2 linked regions of the Tamandua tetradactyla genome follow. The protein of the gene in region 1 binds, or shares a complex with, the protein of each later gene. Links are inferred from orthologs where the notes say so. Each region holds a gene or a part of one and is shown in the gene's direction. Other genes may lie near its edges. The genes, in order: PEAK3 and YWHAB.

What was found.
Region 2: the proteins of PEAK3 (region 1) and YWHAB are in contact, whole or in part, in a cryo-EM structure (PDB 8DP5), measured with the Homo sapiens proteins. The link is inferred for Tamandua tetradactyla from reciprocal best matches to the Homo sapiens genes PEAK3 and YWHAB. Residues at the interface, in NP_940934.1 of Homo sapiens: Arg66, Thr67, Gln68, Ser69, Leu70, Pro71, Thr72, Arg73; in NP_003395.1 of Homo sapiens: Val48, Lys51, Asn52, Arg58, Lys122, Arg129, Tyr130, Gly171, Leu174, Asn175, Val178, Glu182, Ile219, Leu222, Asn226, Leu229, Trp230.

The regions. Positions count from the first base shown.
Region 1 is NC_135337.1:80,580,868-80,593,006, forward strand, and holds PEAK3 (protein PEAK3), read left to right. Parts: upstream 1-5,819; coding exon 5,820-5,901; intron 5,902-6,337; coding exon 6,338-6,876; intron 6,877-8,266; coding exon 8,267-9,046; 3' UTR 9,047-10,036; downstream 10,037-12,139.
Region 2 is NC_135327.1:7,318,164-7,329,547, reverse strand, and holds the start of YWHAB (14-3-3 protein beta/alpha), read left to right. Parts: upstream 1-6,947; 5' UTR 6,948-7,112; intron 7,113-7,404; exon of another isoform or gene 7,405-7,561; intron 7,562-11,384. UniProt on the Homo sapiens protein: Adapter protein implicated in the regulation of a large spectrum of both general and specialized signaling pathways. Binds to a large number of partners, usually by recognition of a phosphoserine or phosphothreonine motif.

The DNA.
Region 1 (12,139 bases):
CGGACCCCACAGCTCCCACCCCGGATGGACACAGCTGCTGCCCCCGGCCGCAGCTCACACCTGGGGGAGACGGTTCCCACCCAGGAGTCACTGACGGCCCCCCTCCCTGGAAAGCCCTACACCACACACCCAAAGCACACACTTATCCACACGTGTGATGCACACACACAGAGTCCCACGGTTCATAAGTGGAACACACATACCTCGCACCTAGCTCATGCCGCGAGCACGCAGGGCTCTCACGAGAGGATGTTCTCGGCTCACACTCAGACACACACCCTCCACGCTAGGATAACCAGAGTTCATATCTAGGACATACAGCTCACACCCAGGGCACAGTCCATTCACACCCGGGTCACACTCAGCTCACACCCAGACACAACTCACACCCGGATCACTCACAGATCACGTCCAGGACACAGCTCACACCCAGAAACACACACTGTGCCCCAGAGCTCACACCAGGAGCACACAGGGCTCTCCCTGGAGGGCACACAGGGCTCACACTTGGAAACACACCATTCATGCCGGGGATAACCAGAGTTCACACCTAGGATATGCACAGTTCACACCGGGTCGCTCACAGCTCACACCCGGGACATGAACAAGTTGCACCCAGGACACACTCAGCTTACTCCCAGCTCCTGCTCAGCATCCCCTGGTGGGACCCTGAGGCCCAGCCTCAGGTCTTGCTGAGCAGGTCAGGCCCACCCCGAGGGGCCCAGCACACACCTGCCCCAGCTCCCTTCCTGCTTGCTCTTGTCCACGGCCCCCAGACTCCCCCACACCAGGCCCCCACTGGCCGGCTGGGAGAAGCCATTCCCCCTTAGTGGCCTCTACCTCCCTTCCAGATGCCACTTGCTTCCACTCTTGGGACGGCTGATGAGGATTTCTCATGGGCTATCCCTCTGAAACAGGCCAGCTGCAGTGACCTCCAACCCTGGGCACCTACTGACCTAATGAAGCTGGCCCTGGACAGAGCCCCGGGGGCTAGTGTGCCCAGGCCAGTGCTCATGCAGGGAACAGGACCAGAGAGGGCAGGGGCTTCCAGGGCTTCTGTTACATTCACTAGCATGGGGCAGCGATGGGGACCAAAGCCAGGGAAAAGGTGTAGGCCACAGGGAGCCTGGACCCAGGTTCTGGGCAGGAAGTGACAGAGGGATCTTAGCCTCTGTGATTTCAGAGGGGGCGGATGAGCTAGGGCCAAAAGTGGACTTCATGGGCAGATTGTGGCTCAAATTAAAGAACTTTCCAAGGTCAATGCTCTGCAGATGGTGAGCTCCTTGTCACTGGCAGTAACCAAGCAGGAGCAGGGATTTTGCAGAATTCAGATACCAGACAGGGACCCCCATGACCCAGCCTCTCCAAGCCCAGTGCCTACACCCACCTCATCTCAGTCAGACAATGATTAGGCATTGTCAGGGGAAGGGGCTCAGGAAATGTATGTCCTCAGTGTCCTCATGGATTTTGTAGGAAGGCTCAAAGCCAGTTCCGCTCCCACCCGGTTGGATGACCTCGCTGGTAACAGGTCCACTCAGACCCTTGGTGTTGTCATCTGTGAAAGGATCTGAGGGTGCCCATTGCCTCATGCACAGAGGCCAGCCCATCTCCTGAATCCTGGATCCCTGAAGGCCCTCCTGAGATGAGCCAGAAAGAAAGCCGGATCAATTCTGGAGGCTTTGAACAAAAGATTCAAACTGACCTCAGAAGGGGACACCAGCCTGTTGCCACTCAGGCTGTGGCTGGGACCATTGGCCCTGCCCCCACAGCATAGACAGGCCAGCGGGACCGAGTGCCATGCTGCGGGGCACATTCACACAGCATCTGATCCCCGTGCCCAGGTCTCCCAGCTAGGGTGGAACCCCTGCCCCCGACCCCACACCTGGCAGGATATCACAAAGGGCGAGAGGGACACCCTGCAACCCTAAACTCTACCCTGATTTTGGCAGATCTCTCTTTTTTTTTTTCTCCCTTAACATCCTCTTGTCTTAAGTTGCCATGACAACCCCAAGGGACCCCGCCCCCCCCTCCAAATAAAACACAGACACACACAAATGACATCCAAAGTGCCTTTAGCATCATCAAAGACGGGTTGGGGGTGCATTCTCAGCAGCTTTAGGGTTTACAGAGTGTCAGCGAATTTGGATTTCCCAGCCCCTCTTCTCCCAGTCTCCTACCACCCTCCTGCTGTACATGGTTGGAATCCAATAAAAAATGAAATCAATCTGATAACTAACGTCAGATTCTTTAATTCCTGTGGGACGAGGAGGAGCAGGAGGCAAGGCTGGGGGATAAGGGGAGGCTGGGGTCAGGACAGCTGCCTGCCCCCAGCCCCAGAGCTGACCCTGAGTCCCAGGGTGTTTGTGGAATGAGATTAACAGGTGGGGAAAATGCTAGTGGCCACATGTCAGGAGCGCCCACTCTGTTCCCAGCACTGTTCCAGGTGCTGTGGGTAGTAACTTCCCTTCATGCTGACCATCAGCCCAAGAGCTGGGTCCTGTTACAATCCGGTTTTACAGAGGAGCAGAGGGAGAGTGGGGGTATGGAGGGGATTTTCCCATAGTCTCCCAGCCCTGGGGGTGGGAGTGCCTGAAGCAGAGCTGGGCTGTCAGGGAAACTCCCCAAACCCAGACCAGGGGCAGAGCCCAGGCAGGGAAGAAAGGAGAAGTGAGCACAGCTCCCTCCTTTGTGCCTCCTGGAGGGAGGGCAACTTCCTCATTTGGGGCTGGCAGGGGCGCAGGGGAAAGTCTCACCTCTTATGGCGGGGAGTCCCATGACAGGTGGGGGAAATTGAGGCAGAGCGGATCCTCCCAGCTGGAGGCAGGGCTCAAACCTCATTGGCCCCTGGTATAGAGGGAGAAGGCTACACTCTTTCTGGAAGGGGTTCAACTAAAGCCACGGCCAAGTGCAGCCCCTCTCGGGACCTTTGTGCCACCAACACGACCCTCTCTGGGCCTCAGTTTCCCCTTTGAACATGGGAAGCAGGCTCCTTTCTCTCCCCGCCCTGTGGGAGACTAAAGCAGAACAGAGACGTAAATTAAGCATCAGAGGCTACGAGGTGGCGCCTCCATGCCTGACTTCAAAGAAGCCTGGGGGGTTCTGGGGATGGGACCCCATGAAATCTCATTTCCACCTTCCCTCCTGCAGCAAAGGCTCTTCCAGGCGCTGTGGGTAGTAACTTCCCCGCCTGGGTTGTGGCGGGGTGGCATTCAGCAGCCAAGGTCCCACTAGGGTGGATCTAGAAGATCGGTGGCTGAAAACCCCAGGAGGGGACCCCTCAAAGGGTCCCCCAAAAGACAGGTGGGGGGTCCTGAACCTCTTCGCTTCAATTTCCCCTCCCAGATGAGGCTGGGGTGCTGGGTGGGCTGGCCCCAGTTCTCCTGCCCTGCAAGCGACCCCCACCTTTCCCTCTCACTCCCCAGCCCCCTTCTCTCTCAGTCAGCCCCTTTCCAGATGATTCTCCAAGCCGCATATATTTACTTGTCCCCTCCCTTCCTTCCTGGTCACCGACACTGTTCCCACCCATGGGCTGTGGCTTGGGGACCGAGGAGAACAAGCTCGGGGATCCTTTGCAAGGTCAATTAAGGGGGTCCCGGGGTATTTCCTGCCTTCTCTGGACCTCTCCCCAAAGAGAAACAGAATGAGGACCCCCAGCAGGAAACTCACACAAACTATTTGCCTTCATGGGCCTACTCCGGGGTCCTGGCCGAGGGCCTCCCATGGGGAGGTTTTCAGCCTGTGCGCACTGGATTTTCACTGTTTGTAGTTTTCCACTTATGACAGTTCCACATAGAGTGTCTTTTTTTTTTTTTTAATAAATGCAATGATTCCACTAAGAAACACATAGATGGGGCAAATTTCTAGAGATAGAACGTAGATTCCAAGTTACCAGGGGCTGGGGGGCGGGGCATGGGTGTGGAGTTAACACTTCACGGGTGCAGAGTCACTGTTGGGATGATGAAACCGTTTCGGTAATGGGTGGCGGTGATGGTGACACCACATTGTGAGTGTGGCTAACGCCACCGAGGTGTACACTTACAGATGCTCCAAATGGGAAATTTGATGTTGTATCTGTCGGCGCAATGAAAATTAAACCCCAAATCCACGGAACTGTACAATGCAGGAGCGAACCCTAATGTAAAGTGTGGACTTTAGTAAATAATATAATCATAATAATATTGGTTCATCAATTGTAACAAAGGTGCCACATGAATGCAAACGATTAATAACAGGGGTAAATTGGTTTATGAAATATACTGTGCAAACACAGGTTTTACAATGATCGTATGGATGCTTTATTTAAATCTGCCTACGGTTAAGCTCACTAAGATATCCATTTTTTGGTGGTTCTAGTGTTTTCTTAAATAAAAATATTTTTTAAAGAAATTAATAACAGGGAAAACTGGGTGTGGGTGGTACATAGGAGCTTTGTACGTTCTACAAAATCTTTCTGTAAACCTGAAACTGCTTTAAAAAATAAAAAAGGGTACACGGGTGGTTCAGTGGTAGAATATTTGCCTTACATGTAGGAGAAGCGGCTTCGATTCCCAGACCATGCACCCACCCCCCAAAATAAATATATAAAAATAAAAAAGAGGGATTCAAATGGCAAATTGTATGACACATACACACAAACACACACATACACACACTACCACAACTTAAGAAAAAAAATTCATTTAAGGGGTGGGGAGGAAAGTGAGTGAGTTGATTAATCTTTTATTTTACTCCAGCTAAAGCGGCTGTTCATGAACCAGTGAGTGGGAAACTTTCTTTTGCACTGGGGCACAGAGAGGCAGGGGTTGGTGGCGACTTGGCCAAGGTCACACAGCAAATCGGAACAGAACTGATTCTGACAGTCTGAGGGCTCTGGGAGGGGCGGGGCCGTGTGCTGGGGGCTTCTCAGGGGGTCACCAGAGAAAAGAGCCTCCCGGGTTGCATTTCACTGGTTGCATTTCACTGCTGTGGCCCCCCGCCCTCACCTAAGATGGGAAAGTCAAATGTATCTCACTCCCCAGCCTCACAGGGCTCCCAGCTCCCCTTCGAGGCTCCCCACCCTGCCACCAGCCCTGGAGTTTATTGCTTTGGGGTCAGTCTTCCTTCTGCCCAGAATGGATTCCAGGTCCACCCTGTCCTTGGATGGCAGGCAGGGTGTGTGGGGCCCCCTGGGAGGTGGGGAAGTGCTGCCGGCAGCCCCGGGCCTGCGGTCTAACTGTTGCTGGACATTTCCTGTTCTCTGCCAGTTCTAGATCAGAAACACCCGGGAAGCCAGGGGCTGCAGCTACTGTGAGCTGGTCCCAACGGTCCCCTCCCCCCACCTCCCCCCACCACAGTCACTCAGGACCTACTTCAGACACCAGCCCTGAAGGTAGGGGCCTCCTGGAGGGGGGACTGGGGCAGGGAATGGGCAGAAGATTTTGGAGCTTGGGGTGACACGGAGTGGGGGAGGAGGGCTGGCTTCTCATATCACCTCTCGGTGCCTTGGGCGGCTGAGCTCTGAGTTGAAGTCCCAGAGAGGGTCCCTGCGTAGCATCTCCCAGCCCCAATTGCCCCCCACCCCCGTCCTCTGGACTGGCTATTCCCAAATGTGCAGGTGACATTCTTATCTCAGGGAGGAGAAAATGGGCCCAGAGAGGGCAAGACACCCACCCGGGTCGCTCAGCAGAAGCACCGGGTGAGAGGAGCCAGAGTCGGGGTCCCCCTGAGGAGGGGCAGACCCTCCCCGGGGGGCACCAGCACTCCCGGGCTCCTGGCTCCCAGGCCCAGACCTGTACCCTCCTGCCCCGGTGTGGCGCTCACTCTGACCTTCCCTCGGTAGCATGAGCAGCCCCGAGCCGCCCGCTGAGACCCCGGGGCCAGGTGACCCCTCCAGGCCAGGGCAGCCCACTTACAGCAACCTCGGTGAGCGGCCGGGGGCGGGGCCAGACTGGGAGGGCGGGGCTGGTGAGGGGGCGGGGATGGGGGGGGCTGGTGAGGGGCGGGACCTGGGGGCGGGGCTGATGGTGGAGGGCGGGACCTGGGCGGGGAGGGAAGAGGTGGGTGGGGAGGGGCCTGGCCCCAGGGTTTCTGGGATTACCCTGCTGGCAAAAATGAGGAAACTGGGGGTTCAAAGAGGCCCAGTCCCGTGCCCAGAGCCTCGCAGGAAAATGAGGTCCACCTGGTGGGGTCAGGAGTCCTCTCTGGCCCTGACTGGTCCCCTCCTCATCTGTAAATCCGGGATGACACCCCGCCCCCCACTCATTTTTAGAGGTGGGGAAATCGAGGCTGAGGGGCGGGGTCAGGAGCCCTGGGTCCCACGTCTTGGACGCCCTCAACCCCCAAATCTCTCCCCGGACAGGCGAGGTCCGTGCCCACCTGCTGCCCTCCAAGGCCTGCCGCCCCCGGACCCCCGGGTCCCTCTCGAGCGACCCGCATCTCCTGCCCCCGCCCCTACCCAAGAAGACCCTGGCCCGCGCCCACTCCCTGCCCACCCACAAGACCCCCTTTCCCAGCCCCGCACGGGCAGGGCAGCCTCGGAGGCCTCTGCTGGAGTCCCACAGTGTGGACGAGAGCCAGGCCGGCGGCGACCAAGCCGGCCGCGCCGGTCCCTCCGCAGAGCTGACCTTCAGCACGCCCGACCCCGAGCTGGGTCACTTCCTCCGCGAGCTGCGGAGTCCCGAGGCCGCGCACGCGGCGCTCGCCGCCCGGCACCTGGAGGGTGTCCGTGCCATCCACACCCGGCTCCTTGCCCGCTTCATGGGGGGTCGCCCCGGGCCCTGCCGCCCGGGCCACAGCTTCCGCCTCCTGGACAGCTCGCCGTGCACCGACGGCGGGGACGCCCTCTACTACCGCGTGGTGCGCGTGGACGGCGAGGCCTGGCACATCCTGGCCGCCAAGGTGAGCCCAGGCCATGCGCCCCTTCCCCCTCCCGTAAGACCCTTCTCTGGGGTTTCCTCCATTTTCCATTTGAGGCATAAGCGGGGGGGGGGGGGGGGCGGGAATGTTCAGCCTGGGTTTCATTGCTTAATTTGCGGCTAACATTTGCATTGACAATTAACACTTGCATTGACAATCAGCAGTTGCTACCAAGTTTGTAAAAGGTGGAGTCACCTATGTTGGAATCACCTGGGAGTTCCCCACCCCAGCACATCTCAGGGGCCCAGGAATCTGCATTTTAATTCACTCCCCAGATGAATTCTCCAAGTTAGAAGGCCACAGAGTTCACCAGCGATAGCTGGCTGACAGCTGCACTTTATAAGTGCAAACATGTATTAAGCACTGCCTTTGTGATTTGCTCTATTCTAAGGGATTTTAGAGCCATTTAATCTCTAAAATTTAATCCACACAGCTACTTTATGATGTATTTCATAAGATGCTCCTTCTATGTGGACATCCAAGAAAAAGAAAATTATTCCTCTTTAAAATATCATCACCTGTAAGATGGATAACAATTTGGGGACAACTGCCTCAATTCGACAATAGGCATTGTCATGAGTTATTGCCAGCTCAACATCAAACGATGGTTCTCCACCCTAGCTCCATGCCAGAGGCATTTTGGGACAATTATTCTTTAAACATCCATGTTCAGCCATGTCCCCACCACCACCAGATGATTCTCATGTAATCCCCAGAGCTGATACGTCCCAAACCTTCTAGAGCTTTGCTGTCCAGTAACGCAGCCCCTGACCATTCATGACTGTGGATCGTTAAAAATACAGCCATAGTCTAGATTGAGATGTGCTAAATGCCCGATATATACCAGCTCTTGAAGAGTTGGTATCACAAATAAATAATAAATAAATAAAGTAAACCATCTCATTAATAAATTTTATTTTGATTCCATGTTGGCACTATTTTGGATAAACTGGGTGAAATAAAATATATTATTAACACCCGTTTCTTTTCACCTTTTGATTTTAACATGGCCACTGGAAAATTGTAAGTCCCATGTGTGGCCCGCTGGACATTTCTATTGGACAGCCCAGCTGTGCTACCCTATCTGACATCCCCTCTTTGGGAATTGAGGAGACTGACCAGGGGGGCAAGCAGGAAACTGTGACCCCCTAATCTAACCACTGTCCTTTCAGATCCAATCTTCCTTAGCAACTAACATCTGGCTTCCCGTTTACCCCCTCCTTCAGGAGGAGATGTAGGTTCCCCAAAGCTGTAGTGGGGAGCAGGGTGCAATGGCAAGCAGGAGAAATGTCAGGGCAGGTAGAGGAGGTGGGATAAACTGAGCTCTGGGGGGCTTCTGGGCTAGGTCCTAATGCTCCCCTCTGTCCCTCAGGTGCCCAAGCCCGAAGCAGAGGCCCCGGACCCATGGGGCATGGAGCTGCAGGCCTCCCTAGCCCCCCACTTCAACCTGCAGGGTCTCTGCGGCCTGCTGCCTGAGGGCACACTGCCCGCTGCGCCCTGGAGGGGCCCGGTGGTGTTAACGGCCGAGGTGCCCGAGCGCACCGTGGCCCAGTGGCTGGCAGAGGTCGGTGCACGGCGACCCGCGGGGTTCGCCCGGCCCGCGGCCCTGCTGCTGCTGCAATTAAGCGCAGCTCTGGAGCGCCTGGAGGCGCGGGGAGCAGCCCTGGCAGAGCTGCGGCTGGAGAACCTACTGCTGGCGGCGCCTAGGGGCTGCACGGGCGGCGGGCCCCAGCGCCTGCTGCTCGCCGACTTTGGCCGCGTCCGACCCCGGCCCCCGGGGCCTCCGGGCCCCCACGCGCCGCAGCTGGGCCGCCTGCTCCGCGCGCTGCTCGGCCCCGCCACGCCCCCGGCCACGCCCTTGGCCGCGGGCCTCGAGCGCCTGGCGGCCCAGCTGCCCCGTGCGCGCCCCTCGGCGGCCCGGATGCGGGGCGCACTGCAGGAGCTGCTTTGGGGGCCCGGGCCTGAGCTGCGCGGCCGCGGGGTGTCGCTCGGGTCCTGGCTGCAGGTGCGCCGCGCGCTGCTGGTCCTGCACCTGGCTGAGCGGGCAGCAGGCGGCCAGGCGCCAGGCCTGGAGGACTGGCTGGCCTGCGAGTACCTGGCCGAGGCCACCGAGGCCTCCCTGGGCCGTGCCCTGGCCCTGCTGTGGGACTAACCCTACCCAAGGGCCCACACGGCCATCCTAACACTCAACGGGGCTCAGGGCCTGCCCAAGAGGCAATTACTGCTTTCCAGTGTCTCCACCATAGAGCAGTGCCTTCTGGCAGCCAAGACTGGCTAAGAGGGCTGGGGTCTGGTCAGTGTCTCCTGGAGTCTGGACGCCTCCCCTCCAATACCTGCTTCATCCTTGGCCAGAGACATAGAACTAAGGCCCCCCTAAGAGTGCAGGTGCTTCCAGGCACTGGAAGCACCTGCTCTGTGTGCTGCCCGGCCCTGCCACACCCTTGGCCACCAGTCTTGCAGGCCTGATGGCCCAGTTGCCCCATGTGTGCTCCTTGGAGCCCTATGCCCCCTGATGGGGTGTGTACAGTGCCCTTCTCATGCCAGGGCCTCTAGCCCCTCTTCCGATGTCTGTGTGTGGTGGTGGTGGTGGGGGAGAACCCTCCCCGTCCAGAAGAAGCCAGGGCCCCCTTCCAGCTCTGATATCTGAAGATCACTGTTTCAATGGCTTCTGGAAGCCCTTCTTCCAATGCCGGGGTCCAAGGCCCACCTGGCTCTGGAGGACCTCCTCATGCTGATCACAGCCAATGAGTGACTCTGCAGGTTTAGACCAACCCAATCCCTCGTTAGGAACTGTCTCCAGGGGCAGGTTCCTCAAACCCCATGCCAGCCACATTCTGCCCAGACAGCCCACCATGAAGTCTAAACTCCCCTGTCTCAAGATCTCCCCTGGGTTCACAAGTCCTGCCCCTCCCCCACTCTCTCCACTCACCCGGGCCTCCTTGCTTTCCTCCATGACATGTGCAATTCTTTCCAGCCTCTGAGCCTTTGCACAGGCAGTTCTCTTGGCCAGACTGTTCAAACCCTACCTCGTTAGAGAATTCCTTTAATCCAATAAAATTGCCCCTCCAGGGCCCTTCTCTAGCCCCTCACCTTGCTTTATTTCCCCCAAAGACCACCTGCAAGTATTTATTCGTCTCTTTATCTGTTCACCTACTATCCACCCTGTCCAGCAGGCTGTGAGCCCTGAGAACAGGCTCTGGGCCTGGCATACAGTAGGTGCTTAAATAGTATAGGATGGTGGAATGAACAGGCACAGACCAGACGCATCAAGGACCTGAGGGAGAGACACGGATGTAGCTTTACCCCTTCGAAAAGGGTGCACAGGAGTTCCAAGAGGCCTGTCTGCTCTTGCCTAGGCCTCTGCCCTGGCATCCAGGATCCACAATCCCCCTCCATTCAACCACCACGCCAACCCCACTGTCCCCTTGGGACCTTTCTAACTCCGATATGACCAGGCCCCTCTTCTGTTCAGATACCTCCCATGGCTCCCTAGCACCCTCAGAATACACACAGGGCTCCTTCAAAGGCCTTGCTAGCTCTCCTTGGACAACCTCCCACCACATGGTACATTCTGAATCCAGGCCTTTGCCCAAGTTGTTTCTTCCGTGGGAAACTACACCAGCATCCACCAATTCCTTTGCTTCAGACTTCTATTCATCCTTTGGTGTCCCAGTGCCAATGCTCTTCTTGATCCTTCCTTTGCCAACAGGGACTGGGGGCATCTCTATAAAACTCTATCTCCCCAGACCTTTGAAGCCTGACCCATCTGTCTGTTACCTCCCCTGGTGCCTTAATCCCACCAAGCCCCTTTCCTCTCCTGCCCGTTTCCCAGCAAAGTGCAGTGACTGAAGCAGTCCTGGGGCGTTTGTTCCAGGGCTGCCCCTATGTTCCAGCCCTAGGTCTGGTCTTTGGCCTTAAACTCTCACTCACCCTCAGGGCCTTCCAGGCAGGGCCACCTATATTGTGCCCCACCCCCTGCTGGGGCACACAGGCTCCAGCTCCAGGGTGCTTTCTGCACAAAGCCCCCCCTCCACCTCAAACCCTACAGCCTCACTCCCAGCTCCACCCCTGGTAGACCTCAGAGATAACCTCACCAAGGACCACCAGGAAGAGGGCACAGCCGGGCAGACCAAGTTCACTCTGGACAGCAGGAAGGCGAGTGGCTGGAGAGGTATGAGCCTCCTACCTACACCAAGTGGTCCTGGGTCTGTCTCGCAGGCCCCACCTGGGCAGACGGTAGGAAGGCAGCTGTGGATAGAGGTGGCCAGGTGGCACCGGGACCCAGAAATAGCCAGCAGTCCAGGGCGGATCCTACACCCTTCCTGTCCAGGGCCCCAAGAGAATCTTTGAAGATCCTACCAGCAATAGCACAGGGAGCCCCCACCCCTTTACCACCCACTTTGGTTCCCACAAGGGCCACCCCACAAAGACAGAAGCTCAGAAAGGGAACGCGCAGGACTGAGGCAGCACAGGTCTCGAGGTGCAATCGCTTTTATTCTGATTTGAGAGCAGAAGGGTAGGTTAACACCTGTCTTTCCAAGGTAAGAGACCTTAGGCCTAAGACTATTTCCAAAATACTTCAAATAAGAAAACTCCTCCTTCAAAGTACAAGGATAATCTTAATCATCTTAAACCAGCAATAAAAAAGTAAAATATAAATTTTTATTTAGAATTAAAGCAAATACTTCAGTATCACAAACACAATATTAAACTTCAAGAAATATACTGCTAATTTGGAGTGAGCGTTTATTTGCACAATTACATCATGCGGACAAGCCCGGAAGAGTCTGCCGTGCCACCTCCCGCCAGCACAGCCGTGGCCCATCGCGTCTCCCCAGAGCGCAGCATTAAGGGAGGCCGGCACCAGACTCCCCCAGGCAGCAGCGAAGCTCTGGGGACGCATGCCGACACTACTCCTCCTCAGCCGAGGAGTCCCTCTCAAACGTGTAGGCCATGAAGCAAGCGTCGGGTCTCTTGGGGACAAGGGGATGCCCGGGTCTCACAATCTCAAAGCCCAAAAAGCTGAAGGTGCGGAGCAGGGCGGCTGTGGGGGAAACAGGCGTCAGAGCCTGCCAGGTGGGGCCTACGAGGACCCAGGGCTCCGAGCAGAAGGGGAATGGGATCGGGGTACAGGGTGAGGGGAGGAGCAAGAGGCTGGCTGAGCGGGTAGGGCCTGGGGGTCTCCCAGCCCTTGCACTGCCCCTCGGGAGTCTGAACAGAGCCCACCCCATGTCCTCTGCGGGGG
Region 2 (11,384 bases), on another chromosome or scaffold:
CCAGATAAAGGGCCCTCCAATCTGAAAGACGAAGGGAATCCCAGGATGGTGATGAAAGGTGTATTAGTTACGGTTCTCTAGAGAAACACAATCAGCAGGGAACACTTGCAAATATAAAATGTATAAAAGTGTCTCACATGACCGCGGGAACACAGATTCAAAATCTGCAGGGCAGGCTGTGAAGCCAATGACTCCAGTGGAGGGTCTGGACGAACCGCACAGGAGAGACTTGCCAGCCGAGGCAGGAAGAGAGCCTGTCTCTTCTGAATCCTCCTTAAAAGGCTTCCCATGATTAGATTAAGCATCACTCATTGCAGAAGACACTCCCCTTGGCTGATTACAAATGGAATCAGCTGTGGATGCAGCTGATGTGATCATGATCTAATTCTGTGAAATGTCCTCCTTGCAACAGACAGGCCAGCACTTGCCCAACCAGACAAACAGGTACCACCACTTGGGCAAGTTGACACATGAACTTGACCATGACAAAAGGGAACCCCAAAATAGTGGTCCAGGCCTAGAGGGCAGCCAGGCCAAATCAGAACCATGCAGACAGCTCCAGGAGATGTCCAAGCTCTAATTACTGGAACCTGAGACTGTTACATACGTTATGTGGCAACAGGTACTTTGCTGATGTAATTGAGGTTACAGACCTCAAAAGAAAAAGATTATCCTGGATTATTTGGATGGGCCCAATCTACTCATAAGAGCCTTTGAAAGCAGAGAACTTTCTCCAGCTGAATGAGAGAGGTGTGGCAAAAGAGGAAGCAAGACAGTTCCTGCAGGAGGGGAAACTGAAGAGATGTGAAGTGTAAGAGGACTTGGGGACGGGGGTGAAGCGTGAAGGAATACAGGCAGCCTTAGGAGCAAAGACTACAAGGAAACAGGGGCCTCTGTCCCTTGGCAGCCAACTACCTCGATGACACTGGACGTGGATTCATCCCCAGCACCTCCAGAAAAGGAAGCCCATCCTTGTGAGATGCTGAGTGGGAGACACAGCTGAAACACACTGTATTCCGACTTCTCACCTGCAGAGCTGTGTGATCACAAATGGTTTATTATTTTTTTAAGCTGCCGCATTAGTGGTCATCTGTTCTAGCAGCAATGGGAAGCTAGTGTTCCGTGGGTAATTAGTGTCAAGAATATAGAAAACTAATGAGACAAAATAAAGAGTCAATGGCTGAGAGATTCCAAACAGAGTCGAGAGGTTATCCTGGAGGTTACTGTTATGCATTAAGTAGATATCACCTTGTTAGTCAAGATGTAATGGAGAGGCTGGAGGGAACTGCCTGAAAATATGGAGCTGTGTTCCAGTAGCCATGTTTCTTGATGATGACTGAACAATGATACAGCTTTCACAATGTGACTCTGTGATTGTGAAAACCTTGTGTCTGATGCTCCTTTTAGCTACCTGATCAACAGACGAGTAAAACATAGGGAATAAAGATGAATAATAAGGGGAACAAATGTTAAAATGAATTTAGAGTGAAATGCTGGTGATCGGTGAGGGGGAGGGGTGGGGGCATGGTATGTATGAATTTTTTTCTGTTTTCTTTTTATTTATTTTTCTGAATAGATGCAAATGTTCCAAGAAATGATCATGATGATGAATACACAATTATGTGATGATATTGTGAATTACTGATTATATAGGTAGAACAGAATGATCAAAAGTTACGCATGTGTATGTTTGTTTGGTGTTTTTTGGTATTTAAAAAAAATGAAATTAATAATAAAAAAAGAGTATAGAAAACTGAGCAAGGAAACAATAAACAAAAGCTTGATTACTCCTAGGGAAAACAACAAGTGGTACAGTCAAGGGAAAGCAATCATAGAACGCTACCAGGCAAGGCTGTCACTCGTGCTTCTCTGGTCACAAAGACGTAAACACTAAATATTGATCGAACTAAAATTATCCCATAATTATTTTCAAAAGGTGCATGTGGAGGGGGGCAGAAAGTAAGCATTCACCTGCTGGATTTGGAGGGTGTTGCCGTGTGGAATGTGTGACAGAGAGAACTAATCTTCATATACCATTGCGGCGTCCCTATAGATAATGCTGAAAGTAAGAAAGTAAAGGAATTGCAGTTGAGTTTGTTATTTTGGGATAAATTGCAGAAAGTGGTTGTTTAGAGAAGCAGAATGTGGGGAGGAGGGTGGGGAATTTTTTTTTTTAACATAACAAGTCATGTAGAACTTTCTCTTTTGACTGTGTGTGTCTTAGCTTTAATGCGAATGAAATTTCATGTTTAAGGCAATTGTTAACTCCAGAGGAAACAGACAAACAAAACACAAAACACATTTCAAGCAAGAAAATACTACAAAATACAATATGTACAGTATAGTAATATAATATAGTATAATATGATATAAATGACTATATCAGGAGAATGATAGAGTGGTATATGTTTAACAGAGTGACTTTAGAGAGTAAAATCTTCTAGTCCACAGTAAGAAGTGAATAAATAATATCCAAAATTGAAAATCTAAAAGCTATTTGTTTACTTATAAAGAAGTAGCTCTATGTGCATGTTATTTAGAAGTTGGAGGAAAGTAGCAGAAGAAACAGCTAAAGGAATTGAAAATAATTGCTCTGTCCCCCTCATCAGGGGAACAGTGGACCAGGGGGCCCACCTTTTTTCACAAGAAAAAGAGACCTACTTGACTTAAACTATGTATATGTTCTACTTTGATAAAAATAAGAATTTACTATACTTCATTTTCGAAGATGCCATTGATTTTAAGAGGCATTATTTTTTATGTATCCCTAAGAGCGTGAGTGGGAAAGGGAAATGCTGCCAATCAAACTAGGATATTTCATTGACAGGAAAACACATCACAATTTCAGAGATAGCAAAATATGAGAATGTATATACTTTAGAATCTATAAAGTATAGTGATTTAATTAAAAAATAGATTATTATTATTATTATTATTGGTACTAAGTTGTTCTCTGGCCCATAGTACATAGATAAAGAGAATCCAGTTTCTGAACCCCGAACCAGCCTGGCATTAGACTTTGAGCCTACTGTCCAGCCCCACCTGCGGTGTTGAATGAAAGCGGCAGGACTGCCTTATATGAAGCCTCACTTGGGGTGGGTTCAATTCCCACTTTCCCTCAAATTCTCATACTATTACCATGATCATTTGCCTCACAAGATGGGAGGACGGTATTTCAATTTGGGGAACTGATAATTACAGCTGGCAGTTTTTCAGAGGGGCAGACAGTGCTTCCCTAGCCTTCACTCATTCAGTAAACATTCATTGAGCATCCTCTGTACCAAGCCCAGTGCTTGATAGACCCTCAGTCCTGCCCCCATTAACTGCCAAAGTGATCTTTTTAAATTGTTCTAATCTGTTCATTCCTGGCTTAAATCCTTTGGTGATTGCGCAGACCTAAAAGACAATAGGTAAATTTCCTTAGTGTGACACTCAAGGTTCTCCAGAAGCTGTCCTTAACTATCAGCCTTTATCTCCTGTTTCTCTGTCATAAATACCTCAGTTCAGTTAGATGACTCCTTATTCTCCCAACATGCCATGTTCAATAGTTCTAAAGAGGTTGAGTTTGTTGTCAACATTAAAAAAAAACAGATTTCACATAGAAATCTACATTTCTGCCTTGCCTGGCAAGAAATATCTGTGTGGCAATAATTGGCTGGAGCCAAGGAGTGGCTTCTCCGTCTCCATTGGCTGTGGGCTTTCCAAAGTGCCAGGGCCCCCTTTGGACCTGGGCCTGCTTTCCTCACTTATGTTATCTGTCTTACAGGCATTTGTGTCAGTGGCCCCTGTGCTGAATAAACCACAGGGTTTGAACACTGTTCTATATCGCCATTTAACTTGAACAAGATTGAGAGGAAGTGTTGTGGATTTGTAATCAAAACCACTGGATTTGAACCCTGGAAAGATTTCCTGGTGCAAAACCTTCCCCATGGGGACCATACTTTGGCAGACCAAAGACGGGTAAATCAGACTGCTGCAGTCTCTAAGCTCTAATGTAACATGACTGTGCCTCATGCCCACATCCAGAAAATAGCCTAGTAGTCCAGATGGCTCAAGCTGATTACACCACAATTGACATCATCAGTGTCTTGAGGGAACAGACGTGACTTTTACAAAGCATCCTTGGCTGTCTGCTGATGGGTTGCATCGAATAGCTCCTTTCACTATCTCTGCAGTCTAGGCCAGGTGTCAGCAAACAGCAGCCCGCAGTCCAAATCCTACCCTATTCCTTTTGTAAATAAAGTTTTATTGGAACACAGCTATACCCATCTGTTTATGTATGATTTGTGACTGTTTTTGAGCTATGGTGGCAGAGTTGAGTTGTTGCAACAGAGACCATACTGCCCACAAAGCCTAAATTATTTATTATCTGGCCATTTATGGAAAAAGTTTGCTGACCCTTAGCCTAGACATTTGAGAGGATCTTCAGTGCTCCTTGCTTTCCAAAATCTCCTGAGCAGAGGGCTCTCTTTTCTACATTGCTCTGTCTTTGTTTCTTTGACTTCACTTATTTTTTTTAACAAATGCATCTGGACTAGAAATACAGAGATGAGTTCAAAATTGTCTTCCCAGTGGGGAACTCGCCTCCTATTGTGATACAGACATTCTAGCACACACTACTGGTTGCTCCATTACACCCTTCTTAAGTCCTAGCAGAACCTCAAATTTGTTTATTTATTTACCTTTTCTCCATGCTTACCCCATCCTCCACTTACAGCTCTAGGGGGATGTAAGGGCACTTAATGGTACAAGGGCAATGCCATTTTCCTTGCCAGGGTTTGGTTTTGGGATGGGTTTGTGAGTTTATTCCAATTAAAAATATGTGAAGAGAAACATACTGGTCTGGAGAATGGGGAAGAAAGTTTTGGGAAGTCTCTTTGCTCCTGTGATGGTTTGGAGATTTGTACCTCAGAAAAACATGTCCATAAACTTAATCCATTCCTGTGGGTATGAGCCCATTGTAAGTAGACCCTTTGATAAAATTACTTCTATTAAGGTGTGGCCCAACTCAATTGGAACAGGTCTTAATCTGATTACTGGATTCCTTTATAAACAATGAAATTCATAGAGTTAAGAGAGAAAGCCACAGAGGGAACAGCCAGAAGCTGAACATCAGTAGAAGCTGAAAGAGAAGGGGAACCGGAGAGGCCGCCATATGCACTGCCATGTAACAGAGAAGTGCAGGACCAAGGATCACTGGCAGCCAGCCCGGTTCCCACGATGCTAGGAAAAGAATCACCTTGATGATGCCTTGCTTTGGACATCTAGCCTCAAAACCATGAGCCAATGAATTCCCACTTTTTAGGTCAACTCACTGAAAGGTATTTGCTTGAGTGGCCAAAGAAACTGAAATAGCTCCAAAGAGAGAGGACTATATGAAAAGTGTCTCTTCTGTCTTTGGACATTATCATGTATGAATGTGAAACCCAGAAATGCTGCTGCCATTTTGTTAATACCCTGATGATGACAGCAGAGAAGAGAGATAGAAAGAATCTGGGTCCTAGATGACATTGATGAATGTATGAAATGACCAATCTAATGGCTACACTCTTTCTGAACTTTCTGTTATGTGAAACAGTAAATTTCCTTAAAGTTTGAGTCACCTTATGACAGGTTCCTGTTATTTGCAATTTAAAGCATATTATCTGATAGACACAAAAAGAGATAATAAAAGACAGGGTGACCATTGCAATCATAGAAAAATATGTGCAGGGTATTATAGGAATCTAGGTGAAGTGCACCTAACCCAGACTTGGGGTGTTGGTAGAGAGCAGAAAAGACTTTCTGAAAGAGATGATATTGAGCCTTAAATTCCACCAGGAATGCCTCACCAGTTCAAGGCAGAATTTTAAAAAGATTACATAAAGCTAAACACTACGGTGTTTAATAGCTGATGGATGTCCAACTCACCACCAGACTGCATGTTTCCCGAGGACAGAAATAGTCTTATGCTGTATTTCAGTAAGGAGAAAGAAGAGATGATGAAGGCCTCCTTACTTTTTCCTTTCTCCTACCAGACTGTAAACTTCAAGACAACAAGACCTTGTCTGTGTTGTTCTTTGTTGGGTCCCCTGCACTAAGTGCAAAGCCTGGGAATATAGTAGGTGCTCAATAAATATTTTTTAAAAGCATGAATGAGAGGGATAGGGAGCAGAAGTGAGGGGCATTGTGAAGAAATGGGTTGACGAGTCAGCTATCACAGAGCATTAATGGTGAGAGCTGTCATGGGGATGAGGGAACATGGGAGGCCTGTTTCCTTCCCAGAAGCTTCCTCTGTGAGCCTCGGGAAGTACATAGTGAAGACATCATGCACATAAGCCTCTTAAAATGACCTTCACGGGTTCGAATGGCGCTACACGTGGCTTCTTTGGTCTTCGAAATGAAGAAATAATATGAACCTTAAAGGGTTGAAGGGAAGACTAAGTGAAAACTTAGAGATGAGCAATTTCTGTCCTTCCCTCAGGCGTGTCTCCCAAAGCACACAGCATGAGGGGATGGACTTAAGTCCCCGATCCCGTGAGTATTACTCTTGGGATGGGGTGGGAACCGATGACCCTCGGAATCTCTAGGCCTTCCGCGGCAGGACAACCCTCGCCCTCAGGTCCACGTCCCATCCCACCCCAAACTCCTCTCCCAGTGTTTCTTGTTCCCTCAGGTTCATTTCTTGACCATCGCCCCCAGCTCCGCCCTGTCCCCTCCCACCTCCTCTTCCCGCTCGCGTCTTCATTTCCGCTCCTTTCCCCACCGCCGCCTCCTCCTAGCATCCACCCCGGGCCCTCCGCCCTCCCCACCCGGTTGCAACCCTGACTTGGCCTCTTCTTCCTCCTCGCTCCATCAGCGCCCCTCTCGGGCTGCCGGGGCAGCCCCGTGTCCCCGTTGCCCAATGAGGAAACGGCGCAGGGGTGGGGCGGGGCTTGGGCCAAAGCGGAAGTGGTGACCGGAGCGGAAGTGGAGCTGCCGCCACTGCCGCCGCCGATTCCCACCCCGGGTAGCCGCCGCCGCCGCCGCCACCGACACTGCCGCCGCCGCCCGAGGAGCAGGCTTGGGAAGGAAGCGGCCACAGCTCTCGGGGCTTCGCTCGTTAGCGCTTTTGCCTCCTGCAGCCCTCCACGGTGAGTGCGGCGCGGGCCCTCCTTAGGCCCCCGGGGCCTTAGCCCGAGACTCCCCTCCGCCGGCGGCTCTGGAGGTCCGCGGGTGGGCCCCGGGGGCAGCGGCGCGGGGCCTCCTCAGCCCCTCGCGGCCGCCTGCGGCGCGGTCCTGCTTCTCTTCGGCCCCTCCCTGTTTCCGGGGCTGGGCCCTTTCCCTCTTCTGGAGGCCGGGGCCTCCCTCGCTGCCTGCGGCCCTGCCCGGCGGGCGGGGTGCGGCTCATCACCGGGCCGGAAGGGAAGGCTGACCCTCCCAAATTTCGATCTTCTCACGACCTCACCCCGCGCCTTGGGCGGAGAAAACTGGTCCTTTCAACCCTGTTATCCCTCTCCTCGCTTTCTGGTTTCCGTAAATTAAAATTTAACCAAATGCGGGAGGGTTGTTGAGCTCCAGTGCCCTGCTTGATTTCCTCTGGGTGAGTAAGGGGTTTAACCTTGGGAGACAGGAAGACGTAACCCCCCCCACCCCCACCCCCGCTCCATTTTGCAGTAAAGCCATTTCATCATCTTTCACTGATTATGGGGCCTGGCGGGATCCTACATTTCCTGGGAAGCACAGGGTTGAGGTTTGAATTAAAAAAATGGCATTTATTGGAGCCGGTTACTGAATCAGGTTGGATCCCCAGGAAAAAATATCAGGGACTGAGAATCAGAGTTTTTTCCCCACGGTATTTACTATCATTTAATCACAGATTCTTTTGTGTCCTCGCCCCAAATTCCCCCATACTGTATGTTAGCACGTTTTTTGGTCTGTAATTTGCCTGGTGGCTACCCTGATGGCTGGGAAACTGTGGGAGTGATTTGGCCCCCCTCCTTTTTTTTATAGAAGATGACATTTCTTTAGAAATGATGAGTACATTTTTGACAGATGTGTCTTTTGCAAATGGAGATCGCTCGTGTAATGGGGTTTTCAAAGGTGTCAGCATTGGTAAGACAGGTTGCCAGCCTTCTTTAAAAATGTATGTCTCTTATCCTTGCCCTCACTGCATTTCTTTTTGGTAAGGCTAGAAAGCATCAGACCTTGATTTTACTTGTCTGATATGGGAGATGGAATTTGGCAAGATGCTTTTTGAACATATAGAGTCAGACAGCCGTAGGAGCCAAAACAAAAAGGTGAAGGACTTGTAAGAATATGAAAATTGTCATCACTTCTCATTCTGTCTCGGTTCTTGAAACCACACACATATGTAGTTTATAGAATTGGACATGTGGCTACTCAGCCTTTTGCATTTTCCTGCTGGAAATTTCTATGTATAAATTTTACTTGACTCATACTGAGTTTCTTCTTGACTGTTTTCCAGTGCACCCCCTTTCCTGTTTGAGACATCTTGGTAGTCTGGGCCCCTCATTTTTCTTGAATCCATGCCCTTAGTAGCTCGCATGATGATGAGGGTAAAATCTGTCAGTTTTATTGGGCTTAAGCTAGAATTTAAGTTTAGCCTTCAAAATGGAGGGCCAATAATCTAGTAGCAACTGCTGAATTATTTTCCTAGCCTTTTCCTTCAATGAGATAAGAAACCATTCACCTGCCTTATAGATGAAGTCTTCATGAGAAATGAGGTGATTTGACCTAGACCACACACCTAGTTTTTAGATTGAATATCCTCTTTCAGCACTAGCAAATATTTATGGACTGTCAGCCCTTGGAGTATGACTCCTACCCTATAATTTTCAGTATATTTCCCATCGTGCATTGCTTGTGTTATGTTGGAGCCATTTTAGAATTGGAGCTGTATAGATCTGGAGGCAGTCTCCATAAAACTAGGCTGAGCAAATTCCCGTGATGCTAGTTCCCTAGGCAGTCTCCAAAGATTTGAGCCACTGCAAAAAGTACATTTTGTCCATTTGGCTGTGCAGATACAGAAGCAGAAAAAGCACTCAACCTAGAGTCAGATAAATTTGAGTCAGGTCTTACTGAATAACATGCCTTATCTTAGTATGTTATTTAATTTCTGTTTTTTAGTTTCCCTATCTCCAGAATTGTCCTGAAATCTTTTTGCAAACTGTAAATTGTTAAATATAAGCTTTCCATTTTGTTGTTTTTTTAATTAGAATTCACTGTTAATGGCTTCTTATGCTATTTGCATTCCAAGATCCAACTCTGATTTGCACGTATGTTTCTTTTAAAAATTGATATATTATTAAAGAATTTTACTTGGTGTATATTATCTGTAGTCATTCTGAGTCCATTTTCTCATCTGTACAATGGGAATGGTAACACAGTCTTTAGGGGATGTTGTGACAAACTCTAATAAGCTTCTGGCATATAGCAGGTATTTAGTAAATGTTATTTGACCATATTCATGAACACTTGAATAGATGTATAGAATCCATCCATTTGTGATTTATTCACCAGCCAATAAGTATAAGACAATTAGTTTGTGATAATAATAGCTACCACTTAAATCACTTCCTATGTGCCAAGCTTTGTTGTAAGCACTTTACATATATTAACTCAGTTTTTCAAAGCAGCCAACAGTAGTTAAATACTGTTGACCCCATTTTACAGATAGGGAAACTGAGGCACGGAGAAGTTAAATAATTTTCCCCTATTCACACAGCTGGTAAGTGCTAGAGCCAGGAATCAAACCCAGGCAGTCTGGGTTTGTTCTAAGCATCCCTGGTGGAGCAACACATGTATCCCTTCCCTGTGAATACCATTTAATCCTTATTTTTTTCTTTATATGTATTCTATTAAAGTAAATGTGTTTGAACAGGAATTTTAACTGTTTTTGTACATAGATATAATGTAATTTATTGGAAGGGAAATACAGCCATTCTAGCCTGTAGCGATTGCAGAATACTGCTGGTGTACATCAGAAAGTAACCTGGTGAAAAATCCAGTTTTTCTAGTATTTGCTTTATACTAGGGAGAAAGTTCATTGGTTATGTTGTGGCACACTGTTTAACTTACCCATTCCTAGGTTTTTCACCTAATGGAATTTGGTCAGAACCAGCATTAATTTTTGTCATAGTGCTTTCTCTGTAGATTTTTAGATTTTCCATATTTTGTTGGAAGAGATAAGAGAATGTCTACGTAAGTAGAGAGTAAGTTCTAAATTATAACATTCTGTTATGCTACTTACTTTTTCTGTGGCATGAAACTAAGCCCTTTTCCTTTAAATGGGGATAGTTTAAAGAATGAACTTAAAATTTACTATTAAAGTACTGTAAGTTCCTTGTTTCCTTCAATTTTTAGGGTAAGTGGCAATTCATGCTTGCTAAGAGTCAAGGAATTATAGTGATGTAATAGTACCTTCCAAGCTTTAAACCATTTTGCTTTTTACTGGAATATGATTCTAGAAGTCCTCTGTTTGTCATGATAGAAAAATGAGCAGTTGGAACTGGATTCAAAGGGAATTTTAGGAGGGAAATACTTAAGGAGGAAATAAAAACTAGCAATGTGTGTGCTAAAAGCCAATTCTTAATGTAGTAGGTAGACCCTTATAGTCAGCAGGCCCTCACCCCTCCTTGCACAACCAAGCAGTCTACCTCCTGGTTAAGAATTCCTCAAATTCCTCTGAACGGTTGGAACTACACGTAAACAGGAAGTTTGCCCCAAGAACCGGTAAAATTACACGTGGACAAGGCAAGATAAATTCCTGTGGAGAAACCCCTCCCCTAACCGCTCATCCACTTCTGTAAACCCAACCTCAAGTCTTTCCCAATTTAAATCAGCCAGTCGTTTTCTTCCAACCCCACCACTTCGTACCTTGTCTTTAATAACGTCATCCTGACTATAAAAGGTTTTGTGACCTTTTGTTTGGGGCTCAGACTTTCGAGGTGACTCGGCTGGGCCCTGTGTGCACGGACGAATAAAATCTTGCTTCCTGAAGCTCCGGTGCCTTGGTCCTAATTCCTTCGGTATTCGCGCAACATTTCTGAGGGCACATCCTGGACCGAGAGCTGGTGACATTATCACCTCCCTCGCCCACGGCGGCGACGTCGCCTGGACCAGAGACCCGACGGAATCCAGTACCAGCACTGGGGATTTCCCCGTCTTTCGGAATCCCGGCCTCCCCGGCTGGGGCGCTCATCACCGCCGGAGCGGCGACGGATCTGGGACAGTTTCAGGAACCAGATCGCTGGGAGCACCACCCATCTGGCTGGTAAGCACTTGGGTGTGTCATGTTATCAGCCCACTCGTAGAAGGCCAGGGGCCTGAGTGGAAGGGTGGACTGATGAACCCCTAAGACTCTCTGAGTACCAGTCTCCATGGTACAGGACCAAGGGAAATGG